4 linked regions of the Rhinolophus ferrumequinum genome follow. The protein of the gene in region 4 binds, or shares a complex with, the protein of the main gene of each other region. Links are inferred from orthologs where the notes say so. Each region holds a gene or a part of one and is shown on either strand. Other genes may lie near its edges.

Region 1 (7,469 bases), on a different chromosome or scaffold from region 4:
CAGACGGGGGCTTATCAATCTGCTAACTACATGTTAAGGTTACTACTTCCTGAGAGAAAAGCCCCTGTCCTCACACTAACTCCTAGGGGATTACGAACTCCACTCTGCCCAGAACATTCAAGTGCCTCAGTGCCTGATGCGGTGGAGCAGGTGCTGGCATACTTACCAGCCGACACGCTATCCCCCTTGCGCCCTGGACAGCTGTCACAGACGTGGGAGACGTGGTTGTGCTGGGACGGTCCGGGATGCACAGAACCACAGCACAGTGAAGCTACAGAGTGTATTTCATGAGCAGTTGTGGTTGTGTCAAGCAGAGTGGACCCAGCCCTCTTGTGGGTGTGGTGGGGACTCCACTAGAGAAGTCAGGCACCAGGGTGGCCCCCACAGCATGTTCTGCTTTAAAGGAATCAGTGGTGCCCTTGGCTCTGATCCTGGACACAAGCTCTGTACCTAGGAAGACATGACTTCTGAAAAACGGCGATCTTATGAATGTTTAAAATGCCTGGGGCATTAAAGTAATAATATTTCAAATGTTTTTGTCCCCTAAGGTCTCATAGTCTTATTGTGGGTGTTGATTGTCCTAGGACTCACTGGTGGGTTGAATCCATGATTCTGTTACCCAGCCACAGGCAGACTTTCTGTAAAGGGCCAGACAGTAAATATTCTAGACTTTGTAAGCCATGTGGGGTCTCTGTTGCAGTTTCTTCTTTGTCTCTTCCCCAACTCTTAGAAAATATACAAAACATCCTTAGCACATAGGCCATACAAAAACAGGCCAGAAGTGGCCGTCACTGGCTGAACCCAGCATGTCATTCAATACATAAGTCAACAGATTGTCCCTCCTAACTGAGACTTCCATAGGAGGTTTTGAAAAGCTTCAACATTCCTAAGAATATGGAAGGCCACACACATGTGTAGGGCTGTGTGTGTGCCCTTAGCTTTCATCTCTAACCAGGTGGATCTGCACAAGCAGGAAGTGAAGACTAAGACAGAGCTGTAAAACACCTTCCTGAGCATGAGGGCATGCCAAACGCGCGTGCGCGCACACACATGGCCCCTTGGCAAATACTGGGAGAATTACTGGCTCCAGGCTTTTAAGGAAATCTGTTCAATCATTAGTTAATCACTAAGCTAACTTAGCAGAGACTTCAGTGGCCACACCCAAGAAAGAATACAAGCTTTAGTTTAGCAAAGTCACTAAAAACACAAAGAGCTACAACAATTAATCCTGGAGAGGGGAGAACATCTGGTTTCCAAAGTTGCCTGATTATATTATTAAAATTTTCCAATTTTCAACACAAATCATGGGACATGCAAAGAAAAAAGAAAGTAAGCCTCACAGAGGAAAGAGGCAGTCAATAGACACGGTGCCTAAGGAAACCCAGGCATTGGACTCATTACACAGACTTTAATTATTTAAAATGTGTTTGAAGAACTAAATGAGACTGAGAACGATGTGTCATCAGAGGGCATATCATCATTAAAGAGATAGAAATTGTATTTTAAATAGAACCAAGTACAATGATGCCGATGAAAAATTCAGTAGAGGTGTTCAAAAGCAAGTTAGAGCTGGCAAAAGAAGCCATCGGTAAATCTGAAGCCAACTGAGATTATCCAGTTTTAGGAACAGAAAGAAAAAAGAATGAGGAAAAATAAACAGTGCTCCAGAGATCTACCTAGAGGCGTGGATGTATACCAGCATATATACATACAGGAGCCCTAGAAGAGAGGGGAGGGGAAGAAACATTGGAAGAAAACTTTCCCACTTTGACGAGAAACATTAAAATGCATGCAAGAAATTCAAACTAGGTAGGATAGACTCAAAGAGATCCACAACAAGACACACCAACCACTAAGAAAATAACTTTAAATATATAGTAAAAAAAAGACAAGGAAACTAAAGTGTTACACTAGAAAATACCTATTTAACAAAAGAGAAGGCAGTAATGAAGGAACGGGGAGCATATAAGGCAAATAGAAAACAAATAGCAAAAATGGCATACATAAACCCTACCTTATCAGTAGTTTCATTAAATGTAAATGGATTAAACACTCCAATCAAAAGACAGATTGGCAAAATGGATTTTAAAAAGCCAAAACAACCATGATCCAACTCTGAAGTGCTATCTGCTGAAGACGCACTTTAGACTAAGAAACAACAAGCAGGTGAAAGTAAAAGGATGGAAAAAGATATACCATGCAAACAGTAACTCAGGGAGAGCTTGAGCGGCCATACTAATAGTAGACAAATAATATTAGACAAAATAATTTTTTTTTTAATTGAAGCTTATTGGGGTGACAATTGTTAGTAAAGTTGCACAAATTTCAGGTGTACCATTCTGTATTACATCATCTATATATCACATTGTGTGTTCACCACTCAGAGTCAGTTCTCTTTCCATCACCATACATGGGATCCCCATTACCCTCATCTGCCATCCTCCTCCCCCTGACAAAATAAGCTTTGAGAAACAAAATTGTGACTACAGGCAAAGGACATTTTTTAATGATAAAAGGATCAATCCATCAAATTAATTCTAAACATATGAACCTAGCAACAAAGCCCCCAGATACATGAAGGAAAAATAGAAGATTTGAAGAGAAAGTTCAATAATATTAGTTGGAGCCTTCAATCCTCCACTTTTAATAATGGATAGAACAAATAGAAGATCAACGGGAAGTAGAAAACACTATAAACCAACTAAATCTAACAAATATCTATAGAGCTTGCCATCCAACAGTAGCAAAATACACATTCTTCTCAAGTACACGTGGAATATTCTGTGAGATAAACCATATGCCAGACCATACTACAAGTCTCAGTGAATTAAAAATGATTGAACTTATGCTACATCTGTCCTCTGACCACATCAAATAAATGAGAAATCATTAACAAATAGATTTGGGAAAATCACAAATATGTGGAAATTGAAACCACAGTCCTAAATAATGAGATCAAAGGGATCTCATTATCCCTAAATAATGAGATCCCTAAATAATGGGATCAAAGAAAGAAATCACAAGGGAAATTAGAATACTTTGAGATAGATGAAAATGAGAACATACCAAAACTTATGCAATGCAGCTAAAGCTGTTCCTAAAGGGAAATTTATGTTAAAATGTCTACATTAAAAAAAGATCTCCAGCTGAAATCTATGTAACTTTACTAACTATTGTCACCACCATAAACTTTAAGAAATCTCAAATCAACACCCTTTAGGTTTCTTCCCCCTTCAGAAACTAGAAAAAGAGTAAACGAAACCCAAAAAAGTAGAAAGAAATAATAAAGATTAGAATGGAAATAAATGAAACAGAGAATAGAAAAAAAGAAGAAATCAACAAGACCAAAAGTTAGTGCTTTGAAAAGATCAATCAAATAGACAAAACTTTAGCTAGACTGAGCAAGGAGGAAAAAAAAGAGAACTTAAATTACTAAAATGAGGAATGAGAGAGGGTATATTACTACAACACAAGTAGGATTACAGGGGAATCCTATGAACAGTTGTATGCCAACAAATTAGATAATCGATATTTACGGGCACATTCCTAGAAAGATACAAAACTGACGAAAGTGACTATAAAGAAGATACAGAAAATCTGAATAGACCTGACAAGAGACTGAATTAATGATCAAAATATCTTCCCAAATGGAAAAGCCCAGCACCAGATAGCTTGAGTGATGAACTCTACGAAGTGTTTGAAGAGTAATTAACACCAATCCAAAAAATGGAAGAGGAGGGAACACGTCCCAAGTGGTTCTGTGAGGCCACTGTTAACTCTGATAGGGAAACCAGACAAAGACATTACAGGAAAAGCAAGCCCACCAATCAGGAATATAGATGAAATCGCCGCGAGGGAGGGATTCCCAAGGGTCAGGAGGCTACTTGGGAGTGGTGGACTGACTCTATCCGAATCGTGGCGATGGCGTCACAGGTGACATACAGGTAAACTTACCAAGGGTTCCATTTTAAGTGTGTGTGTTTACTGTCGATCATCCCGCCATAGCGAACGCGGCTGTTAAAGACACACACACGAAGACGAGTTGAGGCACTCCTTGGTAAATCCCCACTGGAAAGATGGTGGCTCCTAGGACTCAGAGAGGCTACAGGGCTGGGAGGCCCCGTGGCGGCTGCCGGACCCCAGGACAAAGGAAGCCGTCAGCGAGCGCAGACCACCTGACCGTTCCGCGAGGTGCCCTCACGATTCCAGTGGGGTAGAGGGCAGTCAGCCAGCTTGTTTCTAGAAGCCGAGACGCGGCTGGGGTCTGCCCAGGGTGGGCATCAGCAATGATCGGGAAGTGGTCGCGGGGAAAATAGCGGCGCATTGAAGACTGCTCTCCACCAGCCTCTACTGGTGGAAGGAACGAGAGCCAGAGGGCAACGCTGAGTGGGGCGGGAGCGTACCGTCTCGGTACAGTTGTACACCGGCCCCTTCACACCACGGTTTCGCTTCCAAGTCGGCCCTATGTAAAGGACGGGCAGATTTCCGGCGGAAGTAGAAGAGCTACATTTCCCAGGAGGCCGTGGGCACCGTGCTTCCTTCCGGTGCTTCGGAGAGTGGCTGGAGGCAGGCGTGCAGGTGCCGCATGGATCCTGGCAGCCGGTGGCGGGGCCTGCCCCGCGAGCCCAGCCTCAAGCACTTGACGGACCCCTCTTACGGGGTCCCGCCGGAGCAGCAGAAGCCGGCGCTGCAGGAACTGACGCAGGCGCACGTCGAGTCCTTCAACTACGCGGTGCGCGAGGGGCTCGGCCACGCGGTGCAGGTGAGTGCGGCGCCTCAGGAGCCCTCCCAGCTCCGCGCTCGCTGGCGCCGCTCGGGCAGGCGGAGCAAAGGGGCCCTGCGAGGCCGGAGGCGGACGTGGTGGGAGGAGAAAGGGAAGGGGAGACCCAGGAGGCGGGCTACAGGGCCCAGAGAGTTGGCTGAGAGGTCACAGTATAATCCCAAATGGTGGTGCTCCGTGATTATGCCAGGCTCAGCGCGGGGCTTGGGCTCCAGTCGACCAGGGGAAGATGCATTCGTGATTCGTGGATTTATATGGGATTGGGAACCGTAGCATTTTGCAGAGCAGTTTCTGGGTGCTGAGAGAGTGGGGAGGTGGTCCGCCTGGGCTGTGCTTCTCAACCACAGTTGGTTGTCCATGGTTAACATGCTAAGAGAGCTCAGTGGTGCCCTTTCCTCAGTGGAACAGCAAAGCTTCCCCCAGGGAGTGGTACAGAAAAGCAGCAGCTGGGTAAGGGGAAGAACCACGATGGTGACCACCGTCCTCTTTGTATGACTCTGGCCTCAGTATGAGGCCACAGTTGGATGAACTGTACAAATATCAGCATAAAGAATCGCATTAGTGTCTGGTCCTGGATCAGGAGGTGCTTCCATATCCTTGGCAGCAGTCCCATTAGTCTTGCTGTGCTTATAGAGGATGCAAAGTAAGAAGAGAGTAGGCAGGCTCTTTGGTCAGAGAACAGCTTTGTTCTGTGTACATACGTTCCTAGGACCTTCTAGGAATCTGACACGTGGCAGACACTCAAATATTGGAGTTAATGCCTTCTAGTTTTAGGTACGTAGTGAGGGTGTGAGTAGACTGGAAGTAGTTTTCACTGTCATCTAGATGTGTCACATTAGCATTATAGTTTTGTAGAAAATGCATGGGATTTAGAAGGGTCTTAGTGAAAGAGGGCCTTGGCCATGCAAGCAGTTAATAGCGTGAATTGCATTTCAGGCTGTACCTCCATTTGAATTTGCTTTCAAAGAGGAGCGTGTGTCTCTCACTGTCGTGGATGCTGTCATCAGTCCTCCCACAGTCCCCAAGGGAAGCATCTGCAAAGAGCTCAACGTTTATCCAGCAGAATGCCGAGGCCGGAGGAGTACCTACCGGGGAAAGTTGACAGTGAGTGCAAGTGACAGTGTGTGACTCGCATGCTGTACATGTCTGAGAATAAGGCTGGTGCCCAATAAAGTGTAACCAGAATTCTGCTTTCTTGGTACCATCATCCAAGAAATCCCAGCTTTTAAGTCTAAAAGCATAAAATCATTTAATCTGTGGTCTCCTCCCTCTTTTAAAATGCTCATTTGTTCTTGCAGATCCCAATATTTTCTTTTTTCTCAAGTCATTGTTTTCATTTAGGCCGATATCAGCTGGGCAGTGAATGGAGTCTCAAGAGGAGTCATCAAGCAGTTTCTTGGCTATGTTCCCATCATGGTGAAGTCCAAGCTGTGCAATTTGTACGGCCTTCCGCCCAAAGCCCTCATTGAACACCATGAGGAACCAGAGGTGAGCGCATTCCGGGCACTGGGCAGCCAGGTGGCGATGGCGGGGGTCTGAGTGTGGACCCAGTTTTTCTTTCTCTGCTTCATTTCTGCAAAGGCAAAATGGGGCATTAATGTCTTGTCTGATATTGTGTATGGTTCATGATGAGTCTCAAATGAGACAGTGTGAAAAAGTGGCTATGCAGTAGAGGGTATTACGGGGAGAATTGATAGTTTCCCCAGTTTTCTGAATGGTACCCATTTGGAGACATACTTATTTTTTAAGCCATCTTAATCCACAAAACTATTGTCTAAAATGTCTGCTTCGCCAACAGTAAGATTCTTTGAGCATATTAAATGCTTGAGATGCCTTCCCTTTGGCATTTCTTTTAGCTGTGTGAGATGGCTTTGCAGTAACCAAGACATGCAGAGTGCCTTCATGGAGAGCTGTGTTATCAGTGGGAAGAGGGCTGTACTGTCACATCTGGGTTTGACACTCAGCTGCTCCACTTACCAGTCGTGTGGCTTTGGACAGTTCAGTCTCCTGAGCCTGTTTCCTCTGCTGAAAACGGGCACAGTAGCTACCCCACTCGTTGTTGTGAGAATGACATATTATGACAACACAGTGTACTAGCATGGCATGCCTGCTTCATGGTAGGCAATCAGTATAGGAGCTGTTTATTACAGAAATGTGATATTGATTGGAGCGATTAAAAATGTTTTCCTATAGTCTGAATTTCTGGTTTCCAGAGCTTTCATACAGTCAGCAGTTTTTTACCTTGTTTGGGACCATACTCATCTGGAAACGAAATGGTTACCGTTTTTTATTTGTTTTAATGTCATTTGAAAACTGAAGTCATTTTAGGGGACAGAAAGGCAAGTTAAGTCAGGACTGTCTGGTAGAGAAAGTACTTTGATTTCCTTCCATACTTTCCTCCCAGGCCCCTGCACCTTTTTTGTGTGCTTGAGAAGATTTAGTTCACACACTGACAGTTTCCCAGGGACCCATGGCTCTGTCACCTGTATGCCCCTCTCAGCACATTACACCGCATCTGTGGGAGTGACTTTGATGTTTGCAGTTAGTTGGTGTCCCATTTAAGTTAGTGACATATCTTTGTTTAACATGATAAGTCGTCTCTTTGGCAGGAAATGGGAGGCTATTTTATAGTCAATGGCATCGAAAAGGTCGTCAGAATGTTGATCATGCCTCGGAGAAATTTCCCCAT
Region 2 (7,844 bases), on a different chromosome or scaffold from region 4:
GATGATTATAATATTCAAATGAGGTAACATGTTTAGAATGGTGCCTGGCTCAGAAAATGCTAGATATGCATTAGCTCTCACTTTACTAAGAAAACCAGTTGTCAGTACCCGTGGCTGGAAGGCTGTGTTGGGTTTGAACAAATGTATGCCCCCGAATAGAAGTGCAATTCAGTAAGAATGGGGAGAAGAGGAAGCAGCACCCTGGTGTCCTCAGGCCTTTCCTTCCTCCAGTCTCCCCCAGACCATACTTGCTATTCTAACAGAGGCCCAAATGCCTGGCTAGTGCCTGTGTGGGGCCCACATGGCTGCTCCCCCAGGCTTTCCCCAGCTCTCTCTGAACCCAAACCCTGTGAAGGTCGCCACCCCCACAGGCAGGCATGGGTTAAGTGGGCAGTACCAGGTAGCCACGGCCACTAGTTGATCTACCAGGCGTCCCTTCTCCCTCCCTTGGTGGGAGCCAACGATGGTAGCCAGGAGGGACATACAAGGAATACGTGGTACAGGCCTCATGGGTGTACTGGCCAAATATCAACCCTGTGGGTCCAGAAGACCTGTGGCAACGGGGCCTTACCCAACGCTCTGACCCCGAGGCCCATGACTCTACCTTTCACCCGTTACCCTCCGGCCACACTGGCTTCCTTTTGTTCCTCAAACACACCAAGTCCAGACCTGCCTCAGGCAGGGTCTTTTCACTCTCCCTAGGACTTAGCCCCCCAGGCTCTCACTGCATTGTCATCTTGGCTCAACTGATCCCTCTTCAGAGAGGTCTCTCTGATGACCCTAAACAAACTCTGTTCATTTCCCCCACCTGTCACCCTATATACCTACCCAGCTTTAAAGCATTTATCAGTCCCTAAAGTTACATTTTATATTTACCTGTTTTCTATCATTCTGCCATGAGAAACATGGCTGAAATAACAGATGACAAATACTGTTGCAAAAACTGTTGGAAGGTGTAGAAAATGCTGAAAATTTAGAAGAAACAAGTATTAGAACAAGAGACACAGGTTTGTAATTTGAAGGTTTGTGATATAGTTGGATAAAATATAGATATTTCTAACAAGTCCCTGTTCATGAGGGTCTCTAGGTTCTGTGTCACTAACAGCATGTAGAAAAAACTACTTTTGAGGCACCATTAATGGGAAGAGGCACCAGGGAGCAGCAGATACTCTGGGCAATAAATCATTTCTTTTATAAACACAATATTTTGTGGTAAAATTGTGTTCATGTAACCACGGAGGATTGTCTGCTTTGAATAAAATAATAAAGAACTCTGAGACAAGACTGTTGGCAGTGTGCTGGTTGTAACCCATCCACTGCCTCAATCACCAGCAGGAAGGGCAGCAAAAGTTGAGTCCACACATTGCTGCAGAATACCATGGATGTGGTTAATTTTATACACACAAGACCTTTCAGACGCCATGGGACTGTTACCGTAATCTGTGTGAGCTGAATATCTGTGAAAGTCCTATGTTCCACACAGAAGGTTGTTGATTATCTCCTGGCGAAATACTCAAAAAGACCTGTCAGACTTGTGATAAGTTATCTTTTTAAACAAAAAGGCACATATTCCTGCCATGACAAGTGGCTGTCAGCAGTATACTACCTAGCAGATATTTTCCAAGTTGTGGATGCACTTAATTTGTCCCTTTGGGGCAAAGGGGATGTTTCAACAAAGTAAGCAGCTGAATGGCTGGGTGTGTTGACTGGCCTTATCTTTATATTTATGATCACAGATGTCCAGGGCCCCCTAATGCTCCCTGACAATTTACTAGATTTCTGATATAACTCTCCCATTTCCAAGGGATATTACACCTCTGCTCTCTCCTCAGACCTTGTACAACCCTCCCACTTCCATGCTCGGCAATGGCTTGCGTCGTATTTCAGGAGGAACAATCAGAAGAGCCCTCCACCTTGTTCCCACCAGTGCCTGCCTCTGACTCCAATGCCTCCCCTTCTTTCCTGGTTCTGCCACACACGAGTTGCCCATGTGGATCCATCCCCTCTCCCCAGTTCAGTGACAGACCCCTAAAATCATTCCCTCTCTCTTTTGCACCATCATTTTTCTCTGAGAGTTCATTTCTATCAGCTTATAGACATCTTAAGCAAGCAAAGAGACAAAAACAGACAAACACATAAAAATCTCCCTGATTTTACATCACCGACCGGCTACGGCTCCTTTGCTTCTGTCTACAACCAAATCCCCCACAAGAGTGGCCCACACTCTTCCACCATTTTCTATTGAACTCACTCTATTTGGCTTTTATCCCCAACAATGAAGCCACTCTTGTCAAGGTCACTGATGACCCCATTTCCCAACCTGGTCATTGCAGTTCTCAGGAGCATGTGACACAGTTGATGGCATCCTCCTTTTGGACACACTCTCTTCACTTGGCTTCCAGGAATCCACACTCTCCGGACTTTCCTTCTATCTTGTGGGCATTCATTCTTAGCCCCCTTTTGTCAATCCTCCTTTGTGGTCCCGACTTCTCTATGTTGCAGTGCCCAGGTCTCAGTCCTCTCTACACTCATACCCTTGATATTTTATCCAGGCTCCTGCCTCCCAGTTACACATCCAGTGGTTACTTTTCCCCTGAACATCAAACTCGTGTATTGCACAGCATACTTAGCATCGCCCTTTGGATAGCGAATAGGCATCACTAACTTAAACATAAACCCAACTTTTACATCTGAACTCTATCATGAGCCTACACCAAAGTTTCTCCCACCTCAGTACATGGCACCTGCATTCTTAGATAGGATCAGACACAAAACTTTGCAGTCATCTTTCACTCCTCTCTTTCTCTCACACGCCACATCCAACCCATCAGGAAAGACTTTCTGCTTATACCTTTGAAGGTGACCACTCCTCATCAGCCTCACCATGCTCACCCTATAACAGCCCACACCTGGGTTATTTCAGTTGCCTCCTAAGTGATCTCCCAGCTCCCCCTTCGCCCCCTTCCAACCTATTCTCCATAGCCCAGAGGAAACCATCTAAAATATGAGGCAGCTTCTGTCACGCTTCTGCTTTCCATCTTACTGAGGATGAGCTCTGATGTCCTTACTACAAACCACAAGACTTGAGTCATGGCCTGGCCCTGGCCACCTCTCTGATCTCAGGTCATCTACCACTTCCTGGCTTATTAAGGACCACCTTACTGTCTAGGTCCGGAGTGCTAATCCCCCAAACATCTGCATGACGGGGTCCCCCATTTCTTTTATGTTTCCTTTCAAATGTCATTTTTATTTGAGAGGCCTTTCTATCTTCATATTTTGATCTCCCTTGGTGATCTCATCTAGCCTCTTTAAATGCCATCTAGATAGAGATAACTTCCAAATGTTTACTTCCAGTCCAGAATTTGCCTCTGAACTCTAGGTTCCTATATCCAATTGCCTTCTCATCCTACCTGGATGTCCTCTAGATAGCTCTAACATAACAAGTCCAAAATAAAATTCTTAATCTTCCTCTGTCCCACTCTCAAACTGTTCCACACACAGTCCTACTCAGTGATAGCTTCACCCTTACAGTTGCTCAGGGCAAAGGTCTTGACATCATCCTTGACTCCTTTCTCTCTCTTATAGCGCACGTCTTGTCCATCGAAATATCCTTATGGCTCTACCTTCAAAATCTGTACTTCCAGGTTCTGTCTACTTCTCACTGTCTCCATTGCCTTTACCTGGGTCAAGTTACCATTATAACTTGTCTGGATTAGGCTATTAGTCTCCTGACTTGTCTCCCAACTTCTGCCTTTGCCGCCTAGCACTCTGTTCTCCCCACAACAGCCAGACTAATCTGCGAAACATAAGTCAGATCATGTAACTCCTCCAGTGGCTCCCCCAATTTCTCCAACTCAAATTCCTTAAAACCGTATTTTGCCCCAACCACATTTTCTTTTTTTTTTTAATTAAATTTTATCGGGGTGACAGTTGTTAGTAAAGTTACATAGATTTCAGGCGTACAATTCTGTATTACATCATCTATAAATCATATTCTGTGTTCACCACCCAGAGTCAGTTCTCCTTCCATCACCAGTCAAGTTCCTTAAAACCATATTTTGCCCCAATCACATTTTCTACTCTTCCTTTAGCTCACTGTTCCAGCCACTTACTGACTACCTTGCTGATCCTCAAATGATATGACATGAGGCTCAGGGCACTGTCTTTACTGTTCCCTCTGACTGGAATGCTGTTCCCAACTTGGCTCTTGCTTCCTTGCCTTCAAGGTCATCTTCTCAGTAAGACTTTTCTTGACCACCCTATTAAAAAGTGAAACCATCTGATAGCTCCCATTCTCTATCCTGCTTTCTCCTTGGTACCCGTCACCATTTATCATACCATGTATTTCCTTATTTATTTTTGTCTCTCACCCCCAAAAATATAACCTCCATGAAGGCAGGGACTTTTGTTTACTTTGTTCACTGCTGAATCCTCAGGGTCTAACGAATAAATCAGGGAATGAATGTGCCCAATGAAGGCACACTAAAAGCTAAATTTAATGAGCACTTACTACGTGAGGCTCAATTAGAAGGGACTCATAGGTAATAGCTAATTTTTACAGAGAAGGAAACTGAGGCACAAGGAAGCAGAAAAGCCGTGATTAGAAACCCAGGTCTAACTCAACCTGCATTCTTTCCTCCAGGACCCTATGTCTCTCCTGTGCTATTAAAAGACAGTACGAAGTGGAAGGTGCCAGCGGTCCGAGAACGTGGGCCTCCATCGCTTCTCCTGCAGCCTGAATCAATACGAGGGTCTTACTGATTCAACACCGGTTGGATTAACAGCTTTCAAAGGAGAGCGTGAGGGATCAGTTCCGTATTAGGCACCGCCCAGTTTCTTACTGGTTGGTTTCAGTTACCTCGACCAGGAAGGGGATGCTGTCTGGGAGAGGGATGCAGGATTTGCGAGCTTCTCCCCAGGAGCCTTCCCGGCAGCCGTAAGGCCCGGAACCCAAAGTCAGTGTCTCAGTTTCCCCCCGGAGGGCTGCTTCCGCTGCTCCCGGAAGCTGCACTCGCTGCGCTAGTAACAGGCCGGGCTGTGTCGGAGGCGGTACTGTTATGGACCTAGAGGAGGCGGTGAGCGGGCCGTGAGCCGGGCGGGTCGGGACAGCGGGGCGGGAGGGGAATGAAACTGAGGAGAAGGGGTTGGAGGACGCGGACACGCTGTGGGTGCGGCCCCAGGCCGAAGGAGGGCGGGGCGGAACGCTGGGGGGCGGGGAAAGGAATGGGGCTGGCGGGCGTGTGAGCTTGCGATTTGGGGAAAGAGGATGGAGTTTCTGGCAGGATGGGGTTGTGGGTGAAGGGGGAGCGGTATTAGCCGATATGGGTGTGTTTCAGGAGAAGGACGAAGTTGTGGGTTTTGTGGGGTGGCCACCCGCGTGGCTCATCCTCTCTCGAGAGGACCACCTACAAGTTCCCTTTGATGTTGGGGCGGGCGAGGGAGCGCCGGCGTTGAAACTTGAATGCCCCCAAGTAACCCCTGCCAGTCTTCGGGAATCCTCGCCACCGTTTGGTGCAGGGATTCCAAATTCGGTTGTGAGGACACTCCAAGTATTGATAGTTATCAATAGGGGGTTAATAAAAACTTGACTAACTTGTCGAAATAAATTTGACATTCATTTTCCACATACTACATAAAATGCCGCACTCTTTATTAAAGGAGTATTCCATAATTAGATCATAATTAGATAATAATGTCAAACACCAAAGAGTTGGAAATCAGTAATTTAGGAACAGTCTATGTATGTATAGAAGAATGATAGAAATAGAAGGCCTTACTTATTGTGGATGCTCAATAGATGTGTATTGAATGATGGATGGGTAACATCTGTAAATGCTGAGTTAATGTCATTAATCATTATAACTCACCATCAGCCTGTATACCTATGAGTAGGGATCCTGTCTAGTTTGCTCACCACTGAATCCCCAGCACTTAAATTCCTGGTACTACATAGTTGATACTCCTTGTATTGCTGAATGAATAAGTTGAAACTGGAAACAACCCTAATAAAAATCTGGTTCCTTTGTAGCGAGTATGTGTTTAGTGTCCTGGAGGAAGTTACAATGTATGCTGTTTCTATTTTTAAGTCTTCTCTATACTTAAACCTTGTCATCTTTTTTCATCCTAGCATTTTCAAGTTTTATTTACTCACTTTTTTTTTTCCATTTTACTCCTACCACCTTTTTCCCCCCCATTTTTTCCCTCACACACTGCATATTTTAGAAATTTTAATTCCATTTCGAACTGCTCAGGAAACCGAATCTCTTTTCTCCCCATTTATAGATAATCTCTCTGATATGTTTTCTATAATTTTTAATGTATAGGGTAAAATTGCAGGGAACCCTGTAGTAGAATTGCAGGCTTTAGGGACAATGCATTGAATGTGGTTTTCCTCTTGTCCTGCAGAAAGAATTCAGAGAACGCTGTACTCAGTGTGCTGCTGTCTCTTGGGGTCTTACTGATGAAGGCAAATATTATTGCACTTCTTGCCACAACGTTACAGAAGTAAGTAACAAATCTCATGTATAAATTTGCTCATGTTTTAAAAATTGCAATTTCAGCCTGATATATGTCATAGTTCCTAAAGAACTGATCTATTTTTAATCACTCATGCAATGCCCAAATTCCAAGAATGTAAATAGTCTTCAAGTGCTTACACAAGGGTTAAGGAATTTGTAAATTAGATTTAGAGTGAGTTTTTGAAATTATGTTGGGCCGTTTATATATAAATGATTTCCAGATTCAGACAGTATAGTCTAAGGGGGAATAATTAAAATTGTATTTAGAAGATGATGCATTTCTTTTTATTAGTTAATACTTATTTAAGAGTTTTTAATGTGTCGTGGTAGCTTAGAGGTTTGGAAGATGAAGTGTTAGAAAGATTGAGGACTGTTGAGAGTATTGGAAATATGCTTCATTATTATTTTTCTTCGTACAGTACCTTACAGATTACCAAGTCTTTTCTTACCCATTATTGAATTTGCCCCTTGTAACAATAGTATTTGAGATATATACTATTATGCATATCTATAGACACAGCAAGTAGGGCTCACCAGTAGAATGAGTTTGCCAAAGTCACACAATTATGAAGTGTTGAGCCAGGAATCGAACCTGAGTCTTCTGAGTTGAGTGTTCATTTTACCCACTGCACCTGCCTCTTAAAATAGAGATTGTCATACTGTCCTATGTGGCATTGGTAAATGAGGTTACCTTCACCCGGTGGGGGGCTAGGTCCTGTTCTGGTTACACATCTTCAGGAAAATAACCAAAATAATCAAGGGTATGGACAGCCTGCTGTTGGACAGGCTAAACATGCCAGGGCTCTTCTCTGGAAAAGGATTTGCTCAAAGTCTACAGAGCCAGGAAGGAACAAATATTACCTTCACCACATTGGCTTAAGAAAGGCAAATTTGGGATAGATGAAAGTAACTGTGTAGACTTCTGCTGCTGGCCAAGATGGAGTAACAGGCACCCGATTTACCTTCCTACCATAAATAACTAAAAACATGGGAAAATATATGAAACAAGTAAAAAAATATTTTCCCTTGAGAAAAGTGGTTAAGTTAGCTTGCAACTCAGTCACACAAGAGCTTTTCCTTTTCGATGACTGAGATAATCATTGTTCTGTCTGCAGTAGCAATTCTTATGTCCTTCCCATTTAGTCACACAGTATTAAAAATATAAGTGCTCATTCAATGAAATGGTTGGGGTGATGGATCTGTTTATTTTCTTGATTATGGTGATGGATTCATGGACACACACACACACCATATTGTATACTGTAATATGTGTAGTTTGATCCTCTGCTTTGATGCATGTTAAGGCAGACTGGTAGTTTTACTCAC
Region 3 (6,946 bases), on a different chromosome or scaffold from region 4:
CTTGCAAAATATGAACTCTATTCTGTTCAATAAAATGTAATAGAATGTGCTGTTATTTTTTTATTCATTGCAAGCGTGGTGTACATTATCGATTTGTTCAATCTAATAAGAAAGTAGAAAGGGCTATCAAACTCAAAAATTGATCCCAAGTCTTCTTTTGAAGGACTGAGGTACAAAAAAGCCGACCACAATAGCTGCCTTGATTTTTGCCATCCCTGCAGTTCTTAGGGCTAAGGCGAAACTTTACAAACTGAAAGCTCACGCTTGCCATCTGCTGACATATCTGTGAATTACAAGTGGTCTGCATCAACCAATAGCTGGTGAATCTATATTGTGTTCCGATTTTTGTTTGCTTTTGTTTCTTCATTTCCAAAACCCATTAGGCAAATTTTAAACATGTATTTTCCCCAGCAGCAGTGTATTTTACAATTTATTCAACTACTGAAAGAAAACTACTATTTCCCAAACTAAACTCATTTATTTCAAACAAGTGGTTTGTATTGTATCGACTTTAATTCTTCCTACTGACAAACGAAATTGCAAATTTGTTTCTCAGAGTATCTAGTTCGTACCTAAAATTGATTTTATCAATAAAACGTTTTAAGAGGATACTATATTGAAAGCTTTAATTTGTTTTAAGCTGAATCAAATGCTTATGTATATAGATTGTTTATAATGGCAGTGCATTGAAGAGGAGGTGCTAATAATCATTTTAAGAACTCCAAAACAAAAGGATCATTCCCAGAGGTGAGGCTAAGGCATTCTCCAGTTTTTATTCATTGTCTAATCCAAATTTTCCTCTTAAGGCCAGGGCTCTACCTCGCTCTTCATCCAAGAAAGTTGTATGCTCCTGCTCCCAAATTCAGCTTTAAAGGCTTAATTAGGCTGAAGCAAACATATTATAACTGAAGTGTGGATTGTGGACTCAAAAAAATATTATTAAGTATTTAACGTAGGCTAATCCCTGTGCCTAGTATTGAACTGTCATTATCTCTTTAATTCTCACAACTTCTCAATACCATCATACCTCTACTGTACAGATTAGGAAGTTGAAGTTTAAAAAGACTAGGCAAGTTGTCCAAGGTGACCGTGCCGACGACACCCAGACAACCTGACTCTAGCACCTGGCTCCTATCAGACGTGTCATATTGCCTGAATTATTTTCTGCAAGACTGCCCACACTCTTACTTTGGCCAAAAACGGTGCTTTTTTGAAATGTTCTCACGTCTGCTAAAAGGGTAGTATTTAGGGTTTCCAGGCGGGAATTCCCGCCCGTTCTTAGGAATTTTTTTTCGTTTTCCCCTTCCCGAATCCCGAGAAAAGTTGGTTGGGAAATCCGGAAAAATCCGCTCCTTGAACCCAGGTGTTTGGTAGTATCAGCTGTCACTTTGTGGAAACGATTCATCGTAGAGAACAGAAAAGAGTTTGTATCTCGGGATTTAGGAACGGGAAAGCGAAAAAAATTCCTGCGAATGGGCGGGAATTCCCACCTGGAAACCCTAGTAGTATTTACCAGTTTGACGTGATTTCCACCGTAACACTTTTTAGAAATAAGCCACCCATTTTCCTGACTGTTGTAATTTCTTCCTTTATCAGCTTTGGTTCTGTGTACAGGAAACATGATGATTTTTAGTGATTCTCAGCCTGAGCTGTGGAATAATTCATGTCTGGTTTAGATTTCTTAATTGACAAACACCTGTGTCTTCTTCTGCAAGTCATTCATTCATTCATTCACTCAAGAAATATGTGTGCGGCCCTAGGCTTGTAGCTGTTAACAATACAGATGGGGTTGCCAGCATCACGGGGCTGACATCTTCCAATTTTCCCTAGAACCTAGTCTCCTCATCTGTAAATATGTATAATAAATATAATAAGTAATAAGTGCATAAGTACCTATGAAGATTCTGTGTTGGTGATTTGTATAAAGCAGGTTTGTATTGAAGCTTAGCTAAGATGATGACGATCGTGGTAATTGTTACAAGGTTGATGAAATCGCCACTCATTCTGCCAATTTAATAAAATCAACTCTTAAGGGTCGTGAAACCCTCCCTGCTAGTAGTATTATTATTACTCTATATCCAGAGGGGCTTCCAATACCCCATCAGGTGAGGTGTATGACAGAAGTATCCTCTGATGCTCTCTCAGGCAAAGGACAAAGTACTTGAGATCAGAAGCATTCCATGAACTGGATTGCTCTTGTGTAAGTTCCAGAATCTAGGCAAGAGGTGGTGTGTGCTTCCCCCGTCCCTCAGGAAACTGCACGGCCGCCAAGAAAGAAAGCCCACTCTAACCTGCTGGAGGATGAGACACATGGAGTCACATCTGACCACAGCTGAGCTCAGTCCAAACTTGTACCCACAGAATTATGAACGAAATTAGCAGTTATTTAAAGCCACTAAATATGGGGGTGGTTTGTTGGGCAGCAAACGTCAACTGATGCAATGGCATTTTTTACCTGGAATGCCTTTATATGAAATTCTTTTCTTTAAGCCTTTACACATAGCTCAAACTTTCTAATTTCATCCCTTCGTTAAAGTCTACCCTAATAATTTTAGCTTTCAAGAAAAAAGAAAGAAATATGCCTAATATCACACATCTAGTAGGTGGCAGAGTCAGGATTCAGACTCAAATGATGTGACTTTAGCACTCAGAATCTTCACCTGGCCCTATATGAAACTGTGTAAAAATAGAGGGTTTCTTGTAACAACCAAACTCTTCAACAATAGGGATTCTTTTGCTCATTAAGTTTCTGATTGTTTTTTTTTTAGTATAAAACAATACACATTCATTACAATAATATATGAAAATTTGAATGAGTAAAAAAAGCCTTAAACCCACCCTCAAGAAATACCTAATATTAATACATGGTATTTATACATAGATTCTTTTCTAATCATATGTGTGCATATTTCCTATAAAAATTGGAGCACCTGGCACAAACTACTTTATAATTTATTTCAGAAAAGCACAACTTATTGTATATTTAGATTGTTACAGAGATTCTTTGCTGGGAGAGGGAGAGGGAGAAGGCCAAAAGTGGATCAAGGACCATGGGTAGTGGCTAGCGAATAATGTGAAGTGTGATGAATGAAACTACTGGGGGCAGGTCATTAAAAAGTACGGTGGACCTGCAATTTAAGAGCCATATTAAGGAGTCGGTATTATGCTGAAGAAAATGGGGCACCTAGGTGGGCTTTGAAGGGCAAGTCATGTTCATATTTGTGTGTTCCGAGAAAATCTGGCTGCTCTAGTGTCCTCTTGACCACTGGGCTAAGCTTCCACATGCAGTCTCATAGTTTTGGAAGCGAGGATGGAAAGAAGTGTCCGAAGAGATTGGTGTTTTGGCTTTGGCACCATAGGCCTTGGGGCCGATTGTTATTTGGGGGTACAAAAGAGGCCCGAGTATGACAGCTGGACTGAGCTATTCGGACAGCGGCGGTACAACTTTCTGAATCAGTGATTACAGAGCGAGAAAAGAAGACGCGCTGAAGAGAGATGATGAGTTCGTTTTCAGATGTGTGGCATTTGAGGCATTTGGGCTGCTTTTTAGGATTGGGTTCCCTGCGGAAAATATATTCCTTACAGACTTTTTAAATTTATCATCGTCAAGTCCAAGCTTGGAAAATCTACCAGACCACCTTACTGTTGGCAATGATCAAAGTGTACCCCTTAGTCAGTCTACATACTACATCCAATGAGGACATTAGCAAAAACACAGGTTTGCCCGCCCGTAAGAGACTAGGTGGTTGCAGATCTTCGAGCATGCTTCGTAAGGAACCTCAGGGCGACAAAGCGGTTGCCCCCTGCTGGTCAGAATTGCATAACGCCCGCGAGGAGAGAGATTTCCTAGGGGCGTGGTCGCCGGCGGTGACGTATAAAGGGCGAGTCCGGCAACGGGCGGTGATGCTGGCGTCAGTCGGGCGCGCCGCGGGGAACCTGGGGAGCCGCATGGCTGCCGGGTGTTCGGAGGCTCCGCGGCCGAGGGCGGCCTCCGAGGGGCCGGGCGTGGGAGCGGCCGGCGTGCTGCCTTGCCTGGAGCTGCCGACGTACGCTGCTGCCTGCGCACTCGTACACAGCCGCTACTCCTGCCTGGTGGTGGGGCCGCACCGCAGGCACATCGCGCTGTCGCCACGCTACCTTAACAGGAAACGCACCGGGATCCGCGAGCAGCTCGATGCGGAGCTCCTGCGCTATTCTGAAAGGTACCACTCTTTGAGCCATTGTCTTCAACTAGCGGGCAACGCCACGACGTAGCTTGCCACCCCTTCTTGGGGTACGGGAGCGGGCCTCAGGGGGACGTGCTGATGGCGCAGGAGAAAAGGGGCTCGTGGGAAACGTCGCCCCGGCCACCCTGAGCTGAGTCCCGAGGCGTCCTGGACTCGTGATGCTCTCTCGAAAGGCCAGTACCTCCTTAGACAAGAAAGAAAACGTAAAGGTGACTTGGCGGAAGAAGCTCGCTCGACCACCCTCGTGTAAGGGTACGAATAGGCCAGGGGTCTGGAGACCCGTTAAACCCGGTTCTGTAAGTTTCTCATTTGGCAATGAAAATTGGGAATGAAGTACTTCAGTAGATTCTCTCTCGTTCAATAGAAAACTGCACATGGAGCATTAGTACAATTTTTGTTTGTAAACCATGAAGGACGATTTTATTATTTTTTTGTTTGTTTTGGCCCTGGTACTTGCTCAGGGATGAGAGAAGTACTATGAGTTTTATTTTGTTTTGTTTTTAAGAACAGGCAGTTTATTTAGTTTGACTGGCCTGCCTGTTGCTCTTGAGGGTGAAAAAACCTGGTGCTTTTAAATTGAGATATTCAAGAGTCCTTAAACACTCTGCGAATTGCAAGGGTAGAGGGTTAGGGAGACAGGGCAGATAGATGTACCTTGCTACTCCTCTAGACTACTTGGTTCAAAGGCAAGGGTGAGTGGGCTCCCTAGGGATTCGTTGTTACCCTCCAGGAATTTCAGGAGTCCCTGGGAAATTGCAGGAATTTCCTATGCCAATTTTCTTAAGCAGAGTATACAAAGCTTTCATCACTTTCTCAAGGGATCCTGAAACCTACACAAAGTTAAGAATTCAAATAGAATGTTCAACTTCCTCCAAGCACCAGCACACACTTGTTGTGTGTCTATTTTGTATACTAGGGACTTGGGGTAGGAAAACAAAGAAAAAACAAGATCTGTACCTGAAGGAACTTTAAGCTCTAGTAGAGATATAATGTAAGCCAAATCCAATAAAATGTTAAAAATTCATCAGAAATCTAAATTATAAATAAGAGAAGGAGTGGTGATTTTAACCTTAAAACCTTTGAGAACAACTTGATCGGAGGAGGGTACCTGGAGATGGTAACCTTCCAGGCAAAAAGAGTGACCTAAACAAATGGATAGTAGATGTACAATAGAATGCTTTGACCCAAGAATTTTAATAGGTGGATAAGGTTTTGGTCAGAAGAAAGACAATGGGTGCAGTTGGGGCGAGTGGGGAGTGTCCTGATGGGGGACAACTCAAAGAATGGCCATTCTGCTCGTCCCTTCCAGCCTGTGCCCGGTTTTGCTTTTCTGTTTTGTTTTGTTTTCCTTCAGCTGGGTTAGCCCAATACCCTCTGACTCTGAAACTTGGCATACTCTTGAGAGAGTAGTACATATCCCTGATCTCTGTGACATTATCAAATCTGCAGTTTAAGAAACTAAGCCGCAACTCTGATTCTGATTTGGAAGAATTCAATGATGGTTTAAGGAGGGTGAGCTAGTAGTTAGGAGACCAATTAAGAGAGGAGACCAATTATAAGAGTGTTATAATTGCCCATGAGAAAGATGATTAGAGAGGAAAAATTCGAGAGGTTTAAGGATATATGAGGTGCTCATAAAGTCTGGAAACATAGGCAATTGTTTGTATTTTACAACTTTCTGTAATCAGTTAATGCCTCCACTGACAGGTTAGAGCAGGGGTGTCCAAACTTTTTTCAACGGTTTTCACCAAGGGCCATATGCGGTAAAATACACAAAAGGCCGGGCCACTCACTCGAGGTGACGTACGTATTGCCTCACCTGGTTTATTTAAGTAAACTAAATATATTTCTGGAATTTGCTGCAGGCCAGTTAACAATGGATCACGGGCCACATTTGGCCCGCGGGCTGCAGTTTTGACACCCCTGGGTTAGAGGAAAGTCACCACAGTGTCTCCAATAGGAGGGGGCCATTACACCAGAGAGACTAGGACTGATTGAGTGGTAGTTTCTATAACTGAATTAGGCAATGTGGCCACGCGGAGCAGCTTGCACTCTGAACAGATCTGGACTCTCCCTACTCCCACACTTGTATCCTTTAATCAGTGCAACTTTAGCACCACACATTGAGCTGTGCATTACCAGTGAGACACAAAACATTGAACATAGCAGGAATTGTAATCTCAGTCAATTGTTTATCATGTGTAGTTGTTTATGTTTGCAGACTGGGGCCACCCTGTAGAATCAAGAGGACTTGCTTCTCTTTGTTTTAGAAATGATGAAAAGGGAGAAACTGGTAATGGCTCCTATATCAGTGTCTGGGTTATCTCAACAGCACTCCCTATTTGACAGACTTCACCTTTTTTAAAGATAACCTATTTCGATTTTGAAAAGCCTGCTTAAAGTAAGTAGTTTTCTAAAATCACGTTATTTTTGGACTAAATTATATCTTTGAGAGGCCATCAAGAAAAAACAAGTCTTATTTCTCTTGTATATGACAGCTCTTAAGTTTTTTGAAGGTGGCAAATATGTTCCCTCCCACTAGTTCTATAGAAGCCTTAAATGTGCAATCTAAGCATCTCTTAAACTTGATTTAATTGTTCTGTAAATATCTTAAGTGAGGCTACCATCCTGACCTAAAACCTACTTAGGATGGTTTCAGAAAAACAAAAAAGGGGAAAAGGTATATAGTGTTGAGGTGTTTGTAAATCTGATGACTTTTG
Region 4 (6,927 bases):
CTGAGATAAATCTAGACTGCTGTGTTATCAGTTCTTCCTCTTTCTGCAGTTTCTTGATCTGTGCCCTCTGTGTCCCTATCAGCACACCTAGCATCTCTGTCCTCTAAATCTTGTTCTGAAATTCTGTTCCTCCTTGTATTGCCTATTCATCCCTCACCTTAAATCCATTATGAGACCATTCCCTGTTGAACCCTTTATGACCCACTTGTGTTTACTCTAGGTTTATTTACAGAACAGGCTGATCGCAACACAAGTGAAGATTACCAACTTTTTATGTCATCCTTGGTCTAATCTGAGTTTACTGTGAAGTCATATTTAAGTCACTGAAGATGCCTGGCATTTCACCTCTATGCCCTTTTTAAAAAAAAAAAAATACCATTTATGGTTAAAAGCATGGGCTTTGAAGCCTGACAGGCCTATGTTTGAATCCTCATTCCACCACTTCCCAGGTGTGTGACTCAGGGCAAGCAACTTAATCTCCTTCTACATCAGTTTCCTCATCTATAAAATGGATATGACAAAAATCTAATTCTCAGGGTAAATAAAAACAAATGTGAATTAGATTAAAGAGCTTGACACAATGCTTGATATATGGTAAGTTCTCAATAAATGCCAGTTGTCTATCCTCCATAGGTCAAGCCCCTAATTCTCTATAAAGTCTTTTTGGTTTACTCTATGTAACAGTGATTTTACCTTCTTCTGAACACTTAACATTTTTTACTTCTACAACTCATTTGAAAATCAGTCATGGTTTACACTGCGATATCTATATTCATATATCATTTCAAAATTTTAATGCTGAAATTTACACTCCTAAAGGGTGGGGATTATAATTTATGTCTACAAATACAATGATGTATCTATATAATCAGAAAGGATCTGATATTAAGTATTGGGTCTCACTGATCTCTTAGACACATTTTTATTTGCCTGATTATGTATAGCTATTTTGAGACTTCAGAAATTGCCATCTTACTTTTCTTTCTCAGTACATAGCATCTAACACAGTATTTAACATTAGATTCTGTGATCCCAAGTTCTCATAATGATTTATTGATTGGTGATTATCCTTATCACATAAAATCTGAGCATCTTTCTCTCTTATGTTCCCTGTAACATTATATTTATTTTTATTAAAACCGTTACAAGTTTTAAAATCCTCATTCCTGCCACACCCAGAGGGAGGTGGTAGTTCCAACTTGTAGTTTTATTGTACCAAGGGAATTCTCCCTATATCATATGCCTTTAAATGGAATTAACTTTTTAATTATATAGTAAAGACAAATACAAACTTTTTAAAACTGTGAAAAAATAGCAATGAAATTATAAACAAAAAAACGAGAATACATTCTGATGTGCAGAATATTATTTTTAATTTCCTTTTAGATTGTGAGTGTCTCGTACCCAGTTTCATGGGCACCTCTTGTCCCAAGCACACCCCACCTGCCTACCACCACAGCCCAAGTGTATTGTACTCACTCCCAGATGGAGAAGGAGTTAGGGAGAGTAGAGGCTGAGAGGATGGACCGCCCAAGTGCTGTGGGCCATAGGCTCCGCGCCTTCCAGGGAGACGGGAGGCCTGGTCCAGACAATCTTAATGGGACGCAAAAGCTAGACTTTGGTTTGTTTTTTGGGGGGAGTTATTGTTTTCCTTTAAGTTTCTTTTGTAATTTTGTTAGTTGGTAAATTCTGTGTGATCTTTTTCATAAAAAGAAAAAGCTATAATTGGAAAAGTAAAAAACAAAACAAAAGCATTTGCCAGTCTTCCCTGAACTATACAGGCATATTTGTTTTATATGACTGTCCTGGGTTCTCACATTTTGTCCCACTAATGTACTTTCATTGTATTCTAATTATTCATTTGTACTTTTTTTTTTATTATTAATTAATTTTTATTGGGGAACAGTGTGTTTCTCCAGGGCCCATCAGCTCCAAGTTGTTGTCCTTCAATCTAGTTGTGGAGGGCGCAGCTCACTGGCCCATGTGGGAATCGAACCGGCAACCCTGTTGTTCAGAGCTCGCGCTCTAACCGACTGAGCCATCCGGCCGCCCCTCATTTGTACTTTTTAAGGTCAGAGAACACACTTTTCAACTTTGCAGCCCCAGCCTCAGCTCAAAGATTGGCAATAGGTGCTTAATAAATACTAACTGAACAGACTGTGAGCTTTGGTTGGAAAAGCACCATGCCTTCTAAAGCTGGTGCTGTTCCTTTACTGCATTAGAACAGTGTTCAACTCATGGCGGGTCTTCAATGAAAAGGGAAAGTTGGTGAAAATTTCCATTTTCAAAGGAGACACACACACAGAAAAGTGAAAATAAATATTGTCTATCATCATGGGCCCAGCAACTGACCTCCCTGTGTAAGACAGGGAACAAGACACCCAAGTAAGTAAAATTATGGGGCTTGTCACTCGCTGGTAGCTTGCTTAGAGTTCTAAACCTTCAACTATTGTTTCTTTCCATTATTGCAGAGAAAAGAAGACCAGAGCCTTTCTCAAGGAGAGACCACAGCTTGTCTCTTTCAGAGGAGAAAATACTGATGGCTCCAGAACTTTTATATGTAAGGATCTTAGCAGTTATCTGATTGGGTGGGGATGGAAGGGCCGGGAAGTAACTAGGAAACTCATCCAGAAGCTATCCCTTTAGGACAAGTTTCTACTTTAGATTGTATTTACAGATGATTGAAAATAGCAAGATTTTCTAAAGATATTTGTCCTCACGTTTTCCAAAAGATTTGGGAAACGTCAACTGTCCACATAATGGAGGATGATGATGATTGAGAGTTCGTTGGATGGGAGGTGAGGGACGAGGTGGACGTAGGTCTGCAACTGAAAGCCAAACTTGACCTAAGTCTTAATGAAATCCTATCCAAGGCTGCTCCTTTGACTAATGGTAGTGTCTAAGGAGGGGCGGTCCCAACAACCTCTTCTGTTTTGCCACCTCCAATGTCCTGAGCCACTCCTCAAGTGTCCCCTTTCATTGCGGCTTCCTGTCCTTCCCAGGGACTAACCATTTCTCCTCCACTTCCACCCTCACCACTTCCTGCCCCTTAAGAAGCTGATTGAGGCCCGCAGGGCAGCTCAGGTGGTTGCCCAGCAGTGCTTCTAATTCTGAGGTCCCCAGTCCCACATGGGCCGGTGAGCTGCGCCCTCTTCAGCTCAGATTGTGAACAACAGCTCTCCTTGGAGCTGGGCTGCTGTGTGCCGCCATGGGCTACCATGAGCTGCTGTGAGTGGCCAACCTAGCCACCAGCGACCAACTGCCTCAGCTGTGGGGAAGCGCAAAGCTCATAACACCAGCATGGGCCAGGGAGCTGTGTCCTACACAACTAGACTGAGAAACAGTGGCTTAAACCAGAGTGTGTGGGGGGAGGCGGAAGAAGGGGGATAAAAGGAAAAAAAAAAGCTGACTTACCCCTTCCAAAGGCGCGGAAGAGGCCTTTGGCTCCCAAATCACGGGAGCCATTTGGGTTCTGCCTAAGACCCTGTGTGGCCCGGGAGGTGCAAGGAACACTAGAACTTCCGAAATGCTTAGTTTTGTTTTTAGCCACTGCGCAGCCGCAAAAGCGAAATAAAGGCCCAAGAACGGCGGGAATTGTAGCTCTCTATTCCAAATTAATATTTGGTAAGGTTAGTACGATTTTGGGGGGGAATGTCTGCCCCCCCCACCCCACCCCCATCCCCGCCTCACTGGGTGCGAGACCAAGAAAATAAACATCCCAGGTTTGGGTCCTGAGGGGAAAAGTAGAGAGAGGCGCAGCATCGATTACCCGTTTTCTTACCCGAAGTCGCAGAACGAAGCTGAAGGTGGCGCTGCAACCTTCCTGCAGAGAGGCTCCTCTCCTTCAATTAAGATTCTCAGGATCACGTTTGCGATTAATGATGACGTCACAGCCCAGTGAGGCGGACCGCGTCGACGCTCTAGCCCGCCGGGCGCTCGCTGCCCCGCTGCCTGTGCAGAGTAGGCGCTCTAGTCCGCGGAGTTAGCTTCCTCTTCTCGCCAGCGCGGGGGAAGAGCCCTCCATCCGGCGGTACCAGACGCGGGCTGGGAATTCCGGGTGCTCGGTTCCCTCGGTCCCAGAGACACGAGACGTGCGTGGGAGGAGGGCTCGCGTTTGTATGCTTAGGTCCAGGAACGGAATAGGAATGACCCCTGAGTGGGGAGGGGGCTACTTTCTCTCTTTTGTTAATAACCTTCTCATCCCCTTCCCAGCCCTCGACCCCCGTCTGTCATGGACCTCGCCGGCACCTGCTCCAGCTTTCAGTCGGACCTGGATTTCTGTCCTGATTGCGGCTCGGTCCTGCCTCTGCCAGGAACTCAGGATACAGTCACTTGTACGCGCTGTGGCTTCTCCGTCAACGTGCGAGGTGAGGGGCTTCTCCGCAGGGGCCCGGGCTGAGGGCCCAGTATGGAAGGGTCGGCGGCTTGGAGACCTCCAGATCGGTTCGATTGGAGGGGGACTCTAAAGCAGGAGATCAAGTGCTTACACTTTTCGTCTTGGGACGAAACCTGAAGGGAACGGTGTAGAGTAGGGCCACCTGGGAGTTGTGCGCGTCAGCTACTTCAGCGTGTTTGTACAACTAGTTTTTACTGCCTGCGCAGACTTCGAAGGGAAGGTTGTGAAGACCTCAGTTGTGTTCCACAAACTGGGGACGGTCATGCCTATGTCGGTGGAGGAAGGACCTGAATGCCAGGGACCCGTGGTAAGTTAAGGATATCAAGGACGGCCCCATAAGGAGGGTGGGAATGAAACGGAGGGGTGATTGCTGAGATCTGGAGAGCTTTGTACCCAGTTCCAAGTGGGAAGAGGAGCGTTTAGAGCAGCAGTGTCCGAGGAGTGTTATAGCCTGCTTCCTGTGAGAAGGAGCGGGGTATGACTAGGCCTCCTTAACCCACCAGTTGCTTCCCAGGTTGACAGGCGCTGCTCTCGATGCGGTCACGAGGGAATGGCATACCACACCAGACAAATGCGCTCAGCTGATGAAGGGCAGACTGTCTTCTACACCTGTACCAACTGCAAGTGGGTAACTTTACCTTGCTTCTCCCCTTTCTAAGTCCGTTTGCTAACCAAACTAATCCAGGGGTTTACTTTTTGCACTGAATAAACAATTGTTTCTTTTGGTCCCATCCATTTCTATACAGTTCAAGAAATAATAGGGAGATTTGTGGTCGTTTTTATTTTTCAAAATTACATGTATCCTTTTACTAGCCAGTGAACTAAACCTTTTAAGATACTTAAAAGGAAATGAAAAATACAGAAAGCCAGTATTGCTTAGGGGTTAGCATGTTATGTGGGAATATTCCACTGCACTCAAGGAAGTTGTACTTGGGAATTAGTGGAGTATGATTTAAAGAACATGGGCTCTCTGATGATTTTAGGAACTCCTCTTTGCCTTTGGTGTTCTGCAGTTTCATTACAATTTATCAAGATGCGGTTTTCTTTTATTCATCCTATTTGGGATTTGTTGAACTTTTTGAAACTGAGGATTGATTTTTCTTTTTTCCCATCAACCTGGGAAAGTTATCAGCCATTATGTCATTGAATATTGCTTTTCCCTCATGACCTCAATTCTCACATTCTGGAATTCTAATTAAAGAGCTGTTTATTAGACCATCTATCCTCCATTCCTCTGTCTTTCATATTTTCCATCTCTTTTTATGCTGCTTCTGGGTAATTTCTTCAGGTCTCTCTTCCAGGTCACTAATTCTGTCTTCAGTTTATTTCAATTATTACGTTAAATTTTTTGAGTTCTACTTGATCATTTTTCAAATCTCAGTCATCTTAAAGAATTCCTGATTCCTTAATCATCTTTTATTTTTTAATTTTTTATTGGGGAGTGTTGGGGAACAGTGTGTTTTTCTAGGGCCCATCAGCTCCAAGTCAGTTCATTGTCCTCCAATATAGTTGTGGAGGATGCATGCAGCTCACTGGCTCATGTGGGAATCGAACCGACAGCTCTGTTGGTAAGATCTTGTGCTCTAACCAACTGAGCCACCTGGCCGCCCCTGAATCATCTTTTAATTGCACTTTTTATTCTTAAAATATTTATTACGTGTAAATATATTAAACATGGCTATTTATAGTCTGTCTCTGATAATTCCAGTACCTAGTGTTTTTCTGGGTCTGATGCTGCTGTCTGTTATTTCTGCTGACTTTCATGGTGCTTTGTTTTGTGATTTTTGACTGTTCGGATTTTTTTTAGAATTTGAACTATGGGAATTCTTTGAGGCCTGGGTTGAATGCCATTGTCTCAGCATTTGTGTATCTTGTTAAGGTGCCTTGAGGCACTACCAAGACAGAATCACTTTTAAATAAATTCTTGGCTTCAGGATTTTTTGGACTACACAGCTAGTATGAATCTGAGCTGCAAATCCATGTAAGGACCAGCTTTTTCTTTCTCTACCTAGTGAGACAAATTCCCCTTTTATAGAGTTAAATTTGTTTTTTTTTTTCCTATTCACTTTTACAGAGGGGTAGCCCCTTGGAGGTCCCAAATTTATGCAGAATATCTATCAGACATTGTATTACAGGTTTTTCTTTTGTTCCTTCATATTGCTGTCAAAACAGCAAGGGCGCCATCGTAGCAGGGGCTTCAGTTTTACCTGTTTAGTTTCCTGATTTTATATCATTTTACCAGTGTGAAGATTGCCTTTACTTTCTTGCCATCTCATCAATGGATTAAAAAATATTTATTGTTAGATACATCTTTTAAGAATATTTTCCCTAGTCTTACCTATTTATTTTCTTAACTTATTTTTTTAAATGAGCAGAAGTTTTTGATTTTTATCAGGTTCAGTTTATCCTTTTTCCTTTATGGCTACTGCTTTTTGTGTCCCAAGAAATCTTTGCATACAAGTCTGACAATTAAGTTCGTGAACTTGCCACCATGTGCTTACACTGGCAGCACTGTACAAACAGCTCAGGTT

What was found.
Region 1: POLR1H (region 4) and POLR1B share a complex: the UniProt entries of both Homo sapiens proteins name them as parts of the pol I pre-initiation complex. The link is inferred for Rhinolophus ferrumequinum from reciprocal best matches to the Homo sapiens genes POLR1H and POLR1B.
Region 2: POLR1H (region 4) and TAF1B share a complex: the UniProt entries of both Homo sapiens proteins name them as parts of the pol I pre-initiation complex. The link is inferred for Rhinolophus ferrumequinum from reciprocal best matches to the Homo sapiens genes POLR1H and TAF1B.
Region 3: POLR1H (region 4) and POLR1F share a complex: the UniProt entries of both Homo sapiens proteins name them as parts of the RNA polymerase I (Pol I) complex. The link is inferred for Rhinolophus ferrumequinum from reciprocal best matches to the Homo sapiens genes POLR1H and POLR1F.

The regions. Positions count from the first base shown.
Region 1 is NW_022680356.1:219,672-227,140, reverse strand, and holds the start of POLR1B (DNA-directed RNA polymerase I subunit RPA2), read left to right. Parts: upstream 1-4,465; 5' UTR 4,466-4,585; coding exon 4,586-4,762; intron 4,763-5,716; coding exon 5,717-5,884; intron 5,885-6,121; coding exon 6,122-6,268; intron 6,269-7,389; coding exon 7,390-7,469. UniProt on the Homo sapiens protein: Catalytic core component of RNA polymerase I (Pol I), a DNA-dependent RNA polymerase which synthesizes ribosomal RNA precursors using the four ribonucleoside triphosphates as substrates.
Region 2 is NC_046296.1:65,800,263-65,808,106, reverse strand, and holds the start of TAF1B (TATA box-binding protein-associated factor RNA polymerase I subunit B), read left to right. Parts: upstream 1-4,834; 5' UTR 4,835-5,057; coding exon 5,058-5,075; intron 5,076-6,405; coding exon 6,406-6,504; intron 6,505-7,844. UniProt on the Homo sapiens protein: Component of RNA polymerase I core factor complex that acts as a GTF2B/TFIIB-like factor and plays a key role in multiple steps during transcription initiation such as pre-initiation complex (PIC) assembly and postpolymerase recruitment events in polymerase I (Pol I) transcription.
Region 3 is NC_046303.1:19,977,685-19,984,630, forward strand, and holds the start of POLR1F (DNA-directed RNA polymerase I subunit RPA43), read left to right. Parts: upstream 1-3,925; 5' UTR 3,926-3,948; coding exon 3,949-4,202; intron 4,203-6,946. UniProt on the Homo sapiens protein: Component of RNA polymerase I (Pol I), a DNA-dependent RNA polymerase which synthesizes ribosomal RNA precursors using the four ribonucleoside triphosphates as substrates.
Region 4 is NC_046286.1:687,265-694,191, forward strand, and holds the start of POLR1H (DNA-directed RNA polymerase I subunit RPA12), read left to right. Parts: upstream 1-3,911; 5' UTR 3,912-4,118; coding exon 4,119-4,126; intron 4,127-4,212; coding exon 4,213-4,367; intron 4,368-4,602; coding exon 4,603-4,703; intron 4,704-4,910; coding exon 4,911-5,020; intron 5,021-6,927. UniProt on the Homo sapiens protein: Core component of RNA polymerase I (Pol I), a DNA-dependent RNA polymerase which synthesizes ribosomal RNA precursors using the four ribonucleoside triphosphates as substrates. Can mediate Pol I proofreading of the nascent RNA transcript.